2 linked regions of the Arabidopsis thaliana genome follow. The protein of the gene in region 1 interacts with the protein of each later gene in a pairwise test. Each region holds a gene or a part of one and is shown on either strand. Other genes may lie near its edges.

Region 1 (6,431 bases):
TTAGAATTTAAAATTAAGTGTATGCGTCATATGACACAATGCTCTCGTCATCTTGTGTCTAACAGAGTGAAATAAAGAACGAACAATTGTTTGTATACACACAAATACAATCGCACCTACATGTGCACATATTTTATTACGCTTATCTATAGAAAACTGTTTGATACATTTTTTCATTCTAAAGTAAATACACAATCCAAAAAATACTATGTCATGTTAAGAATGTTTAGTATATCTATTTATTTTAGGACAAGGAACATTTAACATATAGTAAACAGTTTTAACAAAATTTCTCTGATTTGAAATATATTTTTTATATTATCAGTAAAAAGAAAACTGTAAAGGTAATTATAGTCGTTGATTAAGATTATACTTAGTTTTTTAAAATAACATGTTTTAAAAATTTTGCAAAATAAGTTTTTTTTTTTACATGTCTCATAATTTTTGTCCTCAGTTTATGTTAAAAATATTTTGTTATTTTGATACTAACATCTTCCATACGCTGAAAACATCTTTGAGAATATTTTTCAAAACACAATATACAAAAATCCACAGTGACTTTATTCCACGATGAAATGATATCAAGACATATATGTTCTTACCTTTACCTTTCAACGAAAATGAGAGAAAAAATATATATATATAGTATCACTTTTAGAAAATGTTTTTTTTTGCTAATTAATTATTATATAAAAATGTTGAGAGCAACTTGATCATATATGTAATAAAGTCGCAGTGAAAAAAAAAATGTAATAAAGTCGCATACCGACGTTGTGACTCGTTTTTATGTAATTGATTAGTTAAGTACAGAGTTCGTTAGATGTATTTGCATTGTTACAATTACAGAAAACCCTACGCAACACAATTCAGTACTTTTTACGTCAGCAAAAATAGAATCTTTCGTTGAAAATAATACCAGAATCGTTCTTGTCTTTAATTTTCTTACCTTTTTGTAATTGGATATGATTTTTGACTATGGAATTATTATTATTTTATTCTATAAAATTATAGTTTTTATTATTGGAATCATTTATAAATGCTATTACTCAGTGTTCTTTAAAGTCCATACTAACGAATTCAAGTACTTATTTAACAAAACAAAACAAACAAATACTAATAAACTAAAAGTACAAACATTACTATGTTATTAAAAAAAGCATATAGCTGCGTGATTTTAAAGGTATATGTGACATATAATACAACGACGCCGTCGTATTTTATTGAATTTTTTTGTCACTTTTAATTAGTATACAGTGAGGAAATAAGCAAAAAGAAAGAAAAAAATATTGTTGGCTCGGCTAGTACCTATAAATAAAAACACTAGTATTTGGCCCAGGATATAATCATTGCAAGTTTAGAACTAGTTAGCTAATCTAAACCGTTAGATCAAAGAAGCAATCTTACTAATCAGAAAAACAAAATTCAACAAGTTACAAGAATGAAAAAAATAGGGATAAAAAAAAGGATAATTCATTTACATTCGATCAAAAGGCGAATGCATAGATCATAGATGCAAGACACTTGTGAGTTGTGATATAACCAAAAATTTATTTAATTATATGTAATATATATTCGAAAAATTTATACACCGTATATAAAATATTCGAATAATCCTTTTCTTTGATTTAAAAATATTTTCTGCTTGTTTTCTCAACTCATGTATTAATTTAAATAATAAAAGTAGCTACCACCTTTCTCTGCCCCACTTTAAGATAAAGCTAAAGCATGGAAAAAAGCATGGGAAAAAAGTAAATATATGATATACAATCAAATAAATCTAAAAAAATAGAAAAGAAAAATTAAAGGAACGAAAAAAAGAGGGAGGAAAAAGACAAAATTAAAAAACAAAAATAAAAATTCCAAAAAAATTAACATCACATGTTATCAAATGAGATCAAAATTTAAGTTAGTTTTGAGTTTTCTCTCTCTTTCTCTTCTCTAAAACTACTTAAGCTAAAGAATCAAACACTTCTCAACGTTTCTCCAAAGCCTCTGATTAGTAAACACATAAAGAGATCTATAGAGAGAGAGAGAGTAGAGATAAAAGGTGATGAATAGAGGTGTGTTGGAGAGTTCGCCGGTTCAGCAGCTGATGGCAGCCGGAAACCCTAATTGGTGGAACGTAAGCGGCGGCATGAGGCCACCACCACCGTTGATGGGTCATCAGCAGGCGCCGTTGCCACCACATATGACTCCTAATAACAATTATCTCCGACCACGGATGATGCCCACTCCCTTCCCGCACTTCTTGCCATCTCCGGCGACTTCTTCTTCTTCCTCTTCTTCTTCACCGTCTTTGCCTAATAACCCTAATCTCTCTTCTTGGCTTGAAAGCAATGATCTCCCTCCTGAGTCTTGGAGCCTTAGCCAACTTCTTTTGTAACTATCCCTCTATCTCTCTCCCTCTATAAATATTCCAAAATGAAATATTCTCTATACGCACATGACATGATCTTGTGTTTACTTACTAGTTCACTCTTTGTTTTCTCGTGTGTTGCTACTTAGTCCTAATTACCTTTTTGTTATACGTATATACGTATATACATGTATGTGTTTGTATTTTAAGTATCAAACAAACAATCTAATATTTTGGATATTTTCTTTGTGAACTTAGGGGTGGATTGATGATGGGAGAGGAAGAGAGATTGGAGATGATGAACCATCATAATCATCATGATGAACAACAACACCATGGTTTTCAAGGGAAGATAAGATTGGAGAATTGGGAAGAACAAGTGTTAAGCCACCAACAAGCTTCCATGGTGGCTGTTGACATCAAACAAGAGGGTAACATTAACAACAACAATGGCTATGTCATATCTTCCCCGAACTCACCTCCTAACAAATCTTGTGTTACAACAACTACCACAACAAGCCTCAATAGTAACGACGATAACATCAACAACAATAATAATATGTTGGATTTCTCTAGCAATCACAATGGTCTTCACTTGTCAGAAGGGAGACACACTCCTCCGGATCGATCCTCTGAGGTAACACTTTTTCCACATCTCAGAGATTTTGATAATATACGGAAAAAGCTCGGAAATAATATCTAGTTTTACACATAAATTAGTAAACACATCAACTACTATGAAAAAGTGAAATCTAAAACGTCATTTAAAAAGATCAGGACAACATATTTTATTTTAAGGTTTGGATCTAAATTCAACACGCAACCAGGATGAGTTTTGCTCTGAATTTTTTTTGATTAAATGACTAATTGATCTTTGTTTTGTTTGTTATCTATATATGTGATGCAGTGTAACAGCTTAGAGATTGGTGGGTCTACTAATAAGAAGCCAAGGCTCCAACCTTCTCCTTCGTCACAATCAACCCTCAAGGTAACTAATTGATTATATCAACGAAACTTTGGATAACTTATATAACGTTTTCTGTATATAAATTCCCTCCCTGACATCATACTAACAAAACAAAAACACAAACACAAAGGAGAACAGAAGAAGCAAACAAAACAGAATGGGCACAGAATAAGCTGTGTGGTTTTGTGTTTTGTAACTCTTTTGTTCTCTCCTGTTTTGTCTTCTTCTTCATTCTTCAATATTCCTTTCCTCTCTTTATTTCATAAAAATCAAACTTAAATTAATAAATTTCAACATTCTCCTTAGAATTAGACGACACTATATGTAATAAATTTTATTTTATAGAATATGGACATTTTGAGAGATTTCAAAGTTCTGTCAAAAAAAAAAAGAGATTTAAAAGTTTTGTTTTTTTCTGTAACTTGTTTTGAAACGTAGAAATGGAAGAGTCGCATTAGACATTGGATTCAATAATATCATGATAATTATATATACTAGTGAAAGTAAAATAATTGTTTATCACTTGTACATGCTAAGTAAGCACGTTTTCTCTATGCATGGTAATTAGTAAAAATAATATGACCACACATGCACATATATATAGAAAGCTTTTTAATTGATGCTATTAATTAATCTATGGTGGTAATTAAAGGTGAGAAAGGAGAAACTAGGAGGCCGAATCGCAGCGCTTCATCAGCTAGTATCTCCATTTGGAAAGGTAAAGATCGATTCCATTAACAAATCAAATTTATTAATGTCGTCTAATATTCCTCTATCAAATCAACTTTTAACATTAATTGTGGAGATTTTTTTAGTTTCATTCTTGTTAATCTAAAATCTAAATCATTCTTCATCCCTTTTTACCCATCTTTTGCAGACTGACACAGCCTCTGTCCTGTCGGAAGCTATTGGATACATTAGATTCCTTCAGAGTCAAATTGAGGTGTGACTCGTCTTTTCCAAACTCCAAATATTCTCATTCAGTAAAATAAAAATAATGCTTATGATTACTCCGTTTACCAAAAAAAAAAAGAAGAAAAAAAGGTTGTGATTACTGAGAAATAAATTACAGAATAAAGCATAATGATATTATATAAGAAAGAATAAAGATAGTAGTATAAAGTTTTGTTCTCTCCATGTTAAGTAATATTTGATTGATGTGATTATATATAAAGTATTTATGACTTTTTGCAACTGTTGCACTGTTGCAGGCTCTGAGTCATCCATACTTTGGTACGACTGCCTCGGGGAATATGAGGCACCAACAACATGTAAGTAGCAAATTTTCGTATATATACTGATATACACAAACAAATCATCATGCTATCGTTTTATACCCTTAACTTCTTCTTTTTCGATAACCTACACGAAACTTTTTATACTTATATATTATCTCTTAAGTCTTAACTATGGTTTATATGAATAGTTGCAAGGAGATAGGAGTTGCATATTTCCTGAGGACCCTGGTCAGGTACGTCCATTTTTTCTTGGTCACTATACTTTTAATATATAATTAGAGTCACTATACTTTTTATTGGATCAATTGAATCCAAATCTAAAAAATGTGGACAGCTTTAGTTTCCAAAATTTATCCTTTTTTTTCTTTTGTTTTTTTTCTTTTCTACTGTTTTCTTTAAAGTAAAGTTGGATTAATATTAAAAGATGCAGCGGCCAGCTTTTTTTTCACCCTCCCTTACATTATTATAAACCAAAAAAGTTCGTTAAAACCAACAAAGCCACTAAATTTATTTAAATATCAACTTTTTCTCCTTACTTGTTTTCTTCATCTAAGTGAAATTCAAATTCCTTTGGCGGGGTTTTATATATGCTTTTCACTAGGGGAAATTCAATGATTTTTTTTCTTATCACCTCTTTATATAGGTGTTAGAGAACATGTGTTTACTTTTTTTGTTAATCAATGCTATATATCATGATTGTTTTTTTTTTTTTTTGATATGGTTTTAGCTCGTGAACGATCAGTGCATGAAGAGAAGAGGAGCTTCGTCGTCATCTACGGACAATCAAAATGCAAGTGAAGAGCCTAAGAAAGATCTGAGAAGTCGAGGTTTATGTCTTGTCCCAATCTCATGCACACTCCAAGTAGGCAGCGACAACGGCGCGGACTATTGGGCTCCAGCACTTGGCTCCGCCGGTTTCCATTGAGCCAATGAAATTACGCCACGTGGAATTCCAGCGTTAGAGAAAAATGATATAACATCACGAGCAGTCAGTCTACTGAGAAAACAACAAATTGAGTTTCCAAGGCTGATTGCTCATGATGCTATACAAAGTTCTTCGTTTAAAACTTTGCTAGAGAATTTGCGTCTGGCGTCTGATGAATATGCGTTTGGCGTTTCATCATTTGATGCGTTATCAGATGATATGACCAAGTGATCAATTTATGTTCTTGCTTTAGGAAACTGTTTGTTTTCTTTTACCGGTTAATTGTAATTTGTGGTTAAGTACTTATTTTAATTACTTCCACGTGGTTTGTATCGTTATAATTTTGCTATTACTTATAATATGTCTATTGTGTGGGATATATACGACATGCAGACCATTAAAATAAAAAAGTGTGCCGGAAAATATCGATATAAGTTACTTCGTTTGCCTTTTTCATGCGTAGTTCTTAATTCACGTAAATGATCATCCACAATGAAAAAAGAAAAAGAACGAAAAAGTTCAGAAATTATGAATCTTATTAATTATTATTGATAATTATTTTACTTCACTCCACCATATGTGTGAACTAGTGGAGCCTTGGAGGATCACTAACAAAGAAGAAAATAAGAAACAAGATATATCATCACTTTTTGAGAACTTGCTCTTCATTTAAACGGTTCATTTCTTCTCTTTGAAGTTACGATCATCAAAGAACTTCTTAGGGTTGCTCTCAAAAGCCTCCCTCTAAACGCTTTGTCGTCCACCAGATCCAGGAGCAACCATTGTTTTACCGATGTCGGAAGTGCTACCAGAACCACCGCTTCCGCCACTCGTACCAAAATTCTTGGCTCCATCAGCTTTGGTGTTCTTGGCGTCCATGGCTTGATTTTGGGATTGGAAACGATTATAAATTGAAGGTTTGGTTATTTTGTGAATCATGAATTC
Region 2 (5,391 bases), on another chromosome or scaffold:
GGAATTTCATTTTAAAAAGTTATTATCATATTTTGTAATTATTAATTTACGAGTATCGTCTTTGGGATAGGATGTTTGTGATCTTGGGGGCATAGAAAAAAACAGTAGAATTTCGAGAGCTCTAGCATCATTGATGAATGTACCTGCTCGAGTTTATAATTTTAGACCATTGTCAATTATCATCGTGAAAAGATTATTAAAACATGAATGTAATATTTCATTCTCGGATTGTATTAATAAATATATAATATGTTTCATTTTATGAGTAATTTTGTACTATACATAATTCAGTTAATGATCAATTGCGGAAAATTCTAAATTTTTATATAATGAGAAACTTATTTACAATTTTAAAACTTATTTAACATTCGTATATATGAGTTGAACAAATGCACCATGTGTGTGTGAACAAATTTGCAGTACCATGTAAAACTAATTAGCTTACCAAGATGGACTACAAGTGTTTTTGGTCGGGCTAGAAGTAAATGGGTTGGAAACTGGTCATAGATATGGGTAAACGACCAGCGGCTGTGCTCTTTTAACCATCTCCTAAATTACTTTAATCCAAAGCCAATATTTTTTGATCATTCTCATTAAAATGGTTGGTTTTCCAGTGAATTTTGAAGTTAAGGTATATCTGTAGATAGTCAAGTAGCTAGATTAATCATTGGGTAACACTTAGGTGGTCCGAGACCATTTTGGGTAGCTCCAATGTACATCTCTTGAATTCCATCGATCCAAAGGGTCGTTTGGTTTCATCATTCTCCTTAAAATGATGTACTCTCTGAAAAGAAAAAAAATAGGTTAACGTCGTTAGGTCGAATGGATTTTTCAATGGGTAAGTAAGTATTTTTGATTTTGGTATGGTTCGGATAAATTCACGTTTATCCGGCTAAATGGCTCGAACATTTTGAATTCCACCCAAATGGTTAATCAACTTCTTAGGAAAACCTTTTGAGTGAATATCCAAGCCTCTATTTAATCGATCAGATCTAGGATTGGACAAGGATATCCTCCTTGTATTTGGTTTTTGGTGGGACTAATTAGGTAACTCCTTGGTCCATGTAAAATTTTTAGAAGCCACAATTGAAACGTAAGAAAGGCACTAATAATCACGGGCATGCCATCATCACCCATATACAGTATAATATTTATATAAGATTTTTTACACATATTAACAAAACACAAAAATCTCATTTAAATTATTTCCTTTCTATAAAAACATTATTAATTACACCTAATTTAATTAATAAAAAATATGTAACAAAATATAATTGATCAAAAATATTAAATATATTTAATTTTTGTATAGAAAAATGAAAACAACATTTATTTTACAACAACAAAACAAATCATTAAACTACATGAAAACACAAAAATAATAAAATTGCTAAACAATAAATGTTATCTAAGAAAACTATAATTGTATACAAAAGCTAGCTATTACACTTAGCACCATATAAATAAACTTCTTATCCATCAATGTTTAATATATATTTGTATAGTAAAATAAAACTAGTTTGCATCTGAAAAAGTATAATCAAATAAAACTCTTTAGATAGCAATATGTACATTAAAAAAAGACTTATTTTCATACGTATTAAGCTGTAAAAAATAATGATTAAGATTTGGGGTAAAGAGAAACCAAAGTTTAAGACGGAAACGAAACAAAAGATGATAATCATCGATTCATCATCACGATATAATATGGGTTGCTAACCACAATAGAAAAACAAAAGTTCTTTTAAGGTTTTAATAATATATCACCAAAAATGATAATTAAAACCTAAAATTAAAATAATATATCTACAAGACTACAACAATTCTGCTTTATAATAAAGCTATAAACCTCAACATTTTTCAACCTCTTCCCAAAAAAAAGTGTAGAAGCAGAAGAAACCCATCATCATCATGATGAACTCTTCTCTTCTAACTCCTTCTTCTTCATCTTCTTCCCATATCCAAACTCCATCAACAACTTTCGACCACGAAGACTTCCTCGATCAAATCTTTTCCTCGGCCCCGTGGCCCTCCGTCGTCGATGATGCTCATCCTCTTCCCTCCGATGGCTTCCACGGCCACGATGTCGACTCAAGGAATCAGCCGATCATGATGATGCCTTTGAATGATGGCTCCTCCGTCCACGCTCTTTATAATGGCTTCTCCGTCGCCGGATCTCTTCCTAACTTTCAAATCCCTCAGGTATAATCTCTTTCTCTTTTCTAAGTTTTTCTCTTCTTGAAAACGAGACTTATGGTGAAATATAGGGATCGGGAGGAGGATTGATGAACCAACAAGGACAAACGCAAACGCAAACGCAACCTCAGGCGAGCGCGTCTACAGCTACTGGTGGTACGGTGGCGGCTCCGCCGCAGAGTAGGACTAAAATCCGAGCTAGGAGAGGTCAAGCAACTGATCCTCATAGTATCGCCGAAAGGGTTAGTTGTTTTTGTTTTTTATTTTACTTTGTTCGATGCATTAATTTGTATCAGTTACCGAGAAAGGTGTCGAAATTGAATTTTTTTTAGCTTTTTGAAGAAAAGATTTGAGTATTTTCTGGAAAAAATGTTTTTATGGGACAGTTACGAAGAGAGAGAATTGCGGAAAGAATGAAAGCTCTTCAAGAACTCGTTCCTAACGGCAATAAGGTAAATTTTTATTCAATTCATTTTCAGTTTAGTTTCCAAAAATTAAGATTAGTTAAAATATTAAATGGATCATTATGAAAATAAACTTCACTTTCCATCATTTTATTCATCATCCACTCTTGATTCGTGCGATCCATAATTCCATCTAATTTACAATTTAAACTCCATCGTCTATTTATAGTTCTCATCTTCTAGACCTAAAATTGAAAAAATACAAAATAAATAATGAAAATAAGTGTCGAAATGATCAGGAACTTTCTTGGAGCTAGTTGTTCAAGAGATAGTTTTAGGCTGTCAACTAGAACTTTCAGGAGTTAACAAGTAAATTTATATTTTTTGTTTTACTCATATAATTGGTGGTTGTGTAGTCTATCTATATATAGGAGTAGCTAGTAGTATATATCAATCAAATGATTAAACACTGATTAGCTAATTAATTAATTAGGCTACAATAATAAAGTTAACTAATGCAGTAATAAATGAGTTAGGATCTCAGTTCTGACAGTTTTGTTTTTGTATTTTATTTGTATAATAATGGACAGACAGACAAGGCATCGATGCTCGATGAGATCATAGATTATGTCAAGTTTTTACAACTCCAAGTCAAGGTGAATCTCTCCCTCTCTCTCATATATTTACAGTTATTATTTTATTAAGTTTGTTTTTCATACGTACAAGGGGTAATTCTTTTACAGAGTGCAATTTGTTTTATTTTATTCTCTTCAATATAGATGGAAGATTCGTTTTTTTGCCTTTTAGTTTGACATATTAAACAAAAAGAAAAGCTGACATATTAGTACAATCTTTACATACCAATATATCAAATTTATGGGCCTCTGCAACTAAAATTCCTTATGCTCCCTCCTCAAATTTTATATATACATTCTGGATTATTATGTCATATAAATACATACATGATAAATAATGTTTTTAAGTTATAAATTAGTGGACCAGTGTACTTAATCATTCTGTTTTGAATTTAATTATGCGTTTTAGGTACTGAGCATGAGCAGATTGGGAGGTGCTGCTTCCGTTTCTTCTCAAATCTCCGAGGTAACTAATATATTACTATCTCTACGTACTCATTTTTCATAAATTTCAATAAACATCAAAGCCAATGGACAAAATTAAGAAATTAGACAATCACTTTTCTCTTATAATGTTAATTAGATTTTACAAAATATTATTTTGGTGTGTAAAAATAGATAAATCGTGCAAGACGTTGAAAACAAAATGAATGTAAAAAGTTTCCAGAAACAGAAAACAAATAAGACAAATTTTATAATTCTAAAATAGAGAAATATAAAAGAGAGCACGCGTGCCGACTAATCACTTAGGGTTTCGCTTTCTTTGTCTTTTTGTTTTTCAAAATGTTTTGTTTTATTTTGCTTAGGCTGGTGGATCCCACGGGAACGCATCCTCCGCCATGGTCGGCGGTAGCCAGACGGCCGGAAACTCCAACGACAGCGTTACAATGACGGAACATCAAGTGGCCAAACTAATGGAAGAAGACATGGGCTCGGCCATGCAATATCTTCAAGGGAAAGGTCTTTGTCTCATGCCAATCTCTTTAGCCACCGCCATCTCAACCGCCACGTGTCACTCCCGTAACCCTTTGATCCCTGGAGCTGTTGCCGACGTCGGAGGTCCTTCCCCTCCCAATCTTTCTGGCATGACCATACAGTCGACGAGTACAAAAATGGGTAGCGGTAATGGGAAATTAAACGGTAACGGCGTGACCGAGAGGTCGTCTTCTATCGCCGTTAAAGAGGCCGTATCCGTTTCGAAAGCGTGATAACGGCCGTTTACTTTTGGGGTTAGGCAGAGAGATACCAAAAACAAAGAGAAAGTGGGGTGAAGTGGGAGATAAAGTCAAAGTCTACGAAGAATGAGGTTGAGGTTGTTTGATGTGTTCTCTGAACGAAGCCATATTTTTCGTAGAGTTTTGGTTCTTTTACCTACGCACTACAAAACCATTCAAGGGACATTTCTTTTTCTTTTTTAAATATATGGTTGCAATATGTTTTATTTTTATTAAATAAAGTTGGTATCGTTGATCTGAATATTAGGCTAGAAAAAGAAAAAAATAGTATATTGGTTTTTCACTTAGAGATGGAGTTATAATCTCGTCTCTCAAATCTCAAATATTGAATCCAAGACTTTAGATGTTTATGGATCGCACAAGTCTAAATATTAGGATATGAGTTTGAAGAATATACAAATTCTGTACAAAACAAAGAGGTACGTACGTCTATACATTTTCACTATAGACATCAATCATCATTTAACAATTTTACAGTAGCAGTCTGTTTAAATGGACCTACTCAATACTAAAAAGTCTAAAACATTTTCTTAACTTGACACCATTAACTTTTTATCACAACACACGTCTATCTCAAATCCACACTACAAAATTAATTTTTCTTTTTAAATTACATCTTTGATCTATGAACACAACCTAGAAACCAAAACGTATTCCATCGAGGAAACTCTAGCTCGCTAATTAACAAAACTTGTTTTTTTTCTCTTTTTTTTTTTCCTAAATATTTTGGCTAACCCAAACAAAGCCTGTCTCTTATGTAAAAAATTCATGTCCTCATTCCCTTTTGCCAAACTAGCATATTTCCTACTTTCCATTAGGAAATTATTGCTCTCTATACAACCCAATATTTCAATATATATTTATCATATCTTTGAAATATCCTTATGACTCTCTTTTTGTTTAATGCCTTTCCTCTTGAAA

What was found.
Region 2: the proteins of AT4G29100 (region 1) and LRL1 interact in a two-hybrid assay, tested with the Arabidopsis thaliana proteins (one large-scale study listed by BioGRID).

The regions. Positions count from the first base shown.
Region 1 is NC_003075.7:14,339,090-14,345,520, forward strand, and holds AT4G29100 (basic helix-loop-helix (bHLH) DNA-binding superfamily protein), read left to right. Parts: upstream 1-1,875; 5' UTR 1,876-2,050; coding exon 2,051-2,379; intron 2,380-2,614; coding exon 2,615-2,993; intron 2,994-3,263; coding exon 3,264-3,344; intron 3,345-3,975; coding exon 3,976-4,041; intron 4,042-4,200; coding exon 4,201-4,266; intron 4,267-4,534; coding exon 4,535-4,594; intron 4,595-4,749; coding exon 4,750-4,794; coding exon of another isoform or gene 4,795-4,836; exon of another isoform or gene 4,837-5,288; coding exon 5,289-5,486; 3' UTR 5,487-5,924; downstream 5,925-6,431.
Region 2 is NC_003071.7:10,318,698-10,324,088, reverse strand, and holds LRL1 (LJRHL1-like 1), read left to right. Parts: upstream 1-1,665; 5' UTR 1,666-1,911; coding exon 1,912-2,202; intron 2,203-2,231; exon of another isoform or gene 2,232-2,267; coding exon 2,268-2,438; intron 2,439-2,582; coding exon 2,583-2,648; intron 2,649-3,190; coding exon 3,191-3,256; intron 3,257-3,644; coding exon 3,645-3,701; intron 3,702-4,041; coding exon 4,042-4,443; 3' UTR 4,444-4,876; downstream 4,877-5,391.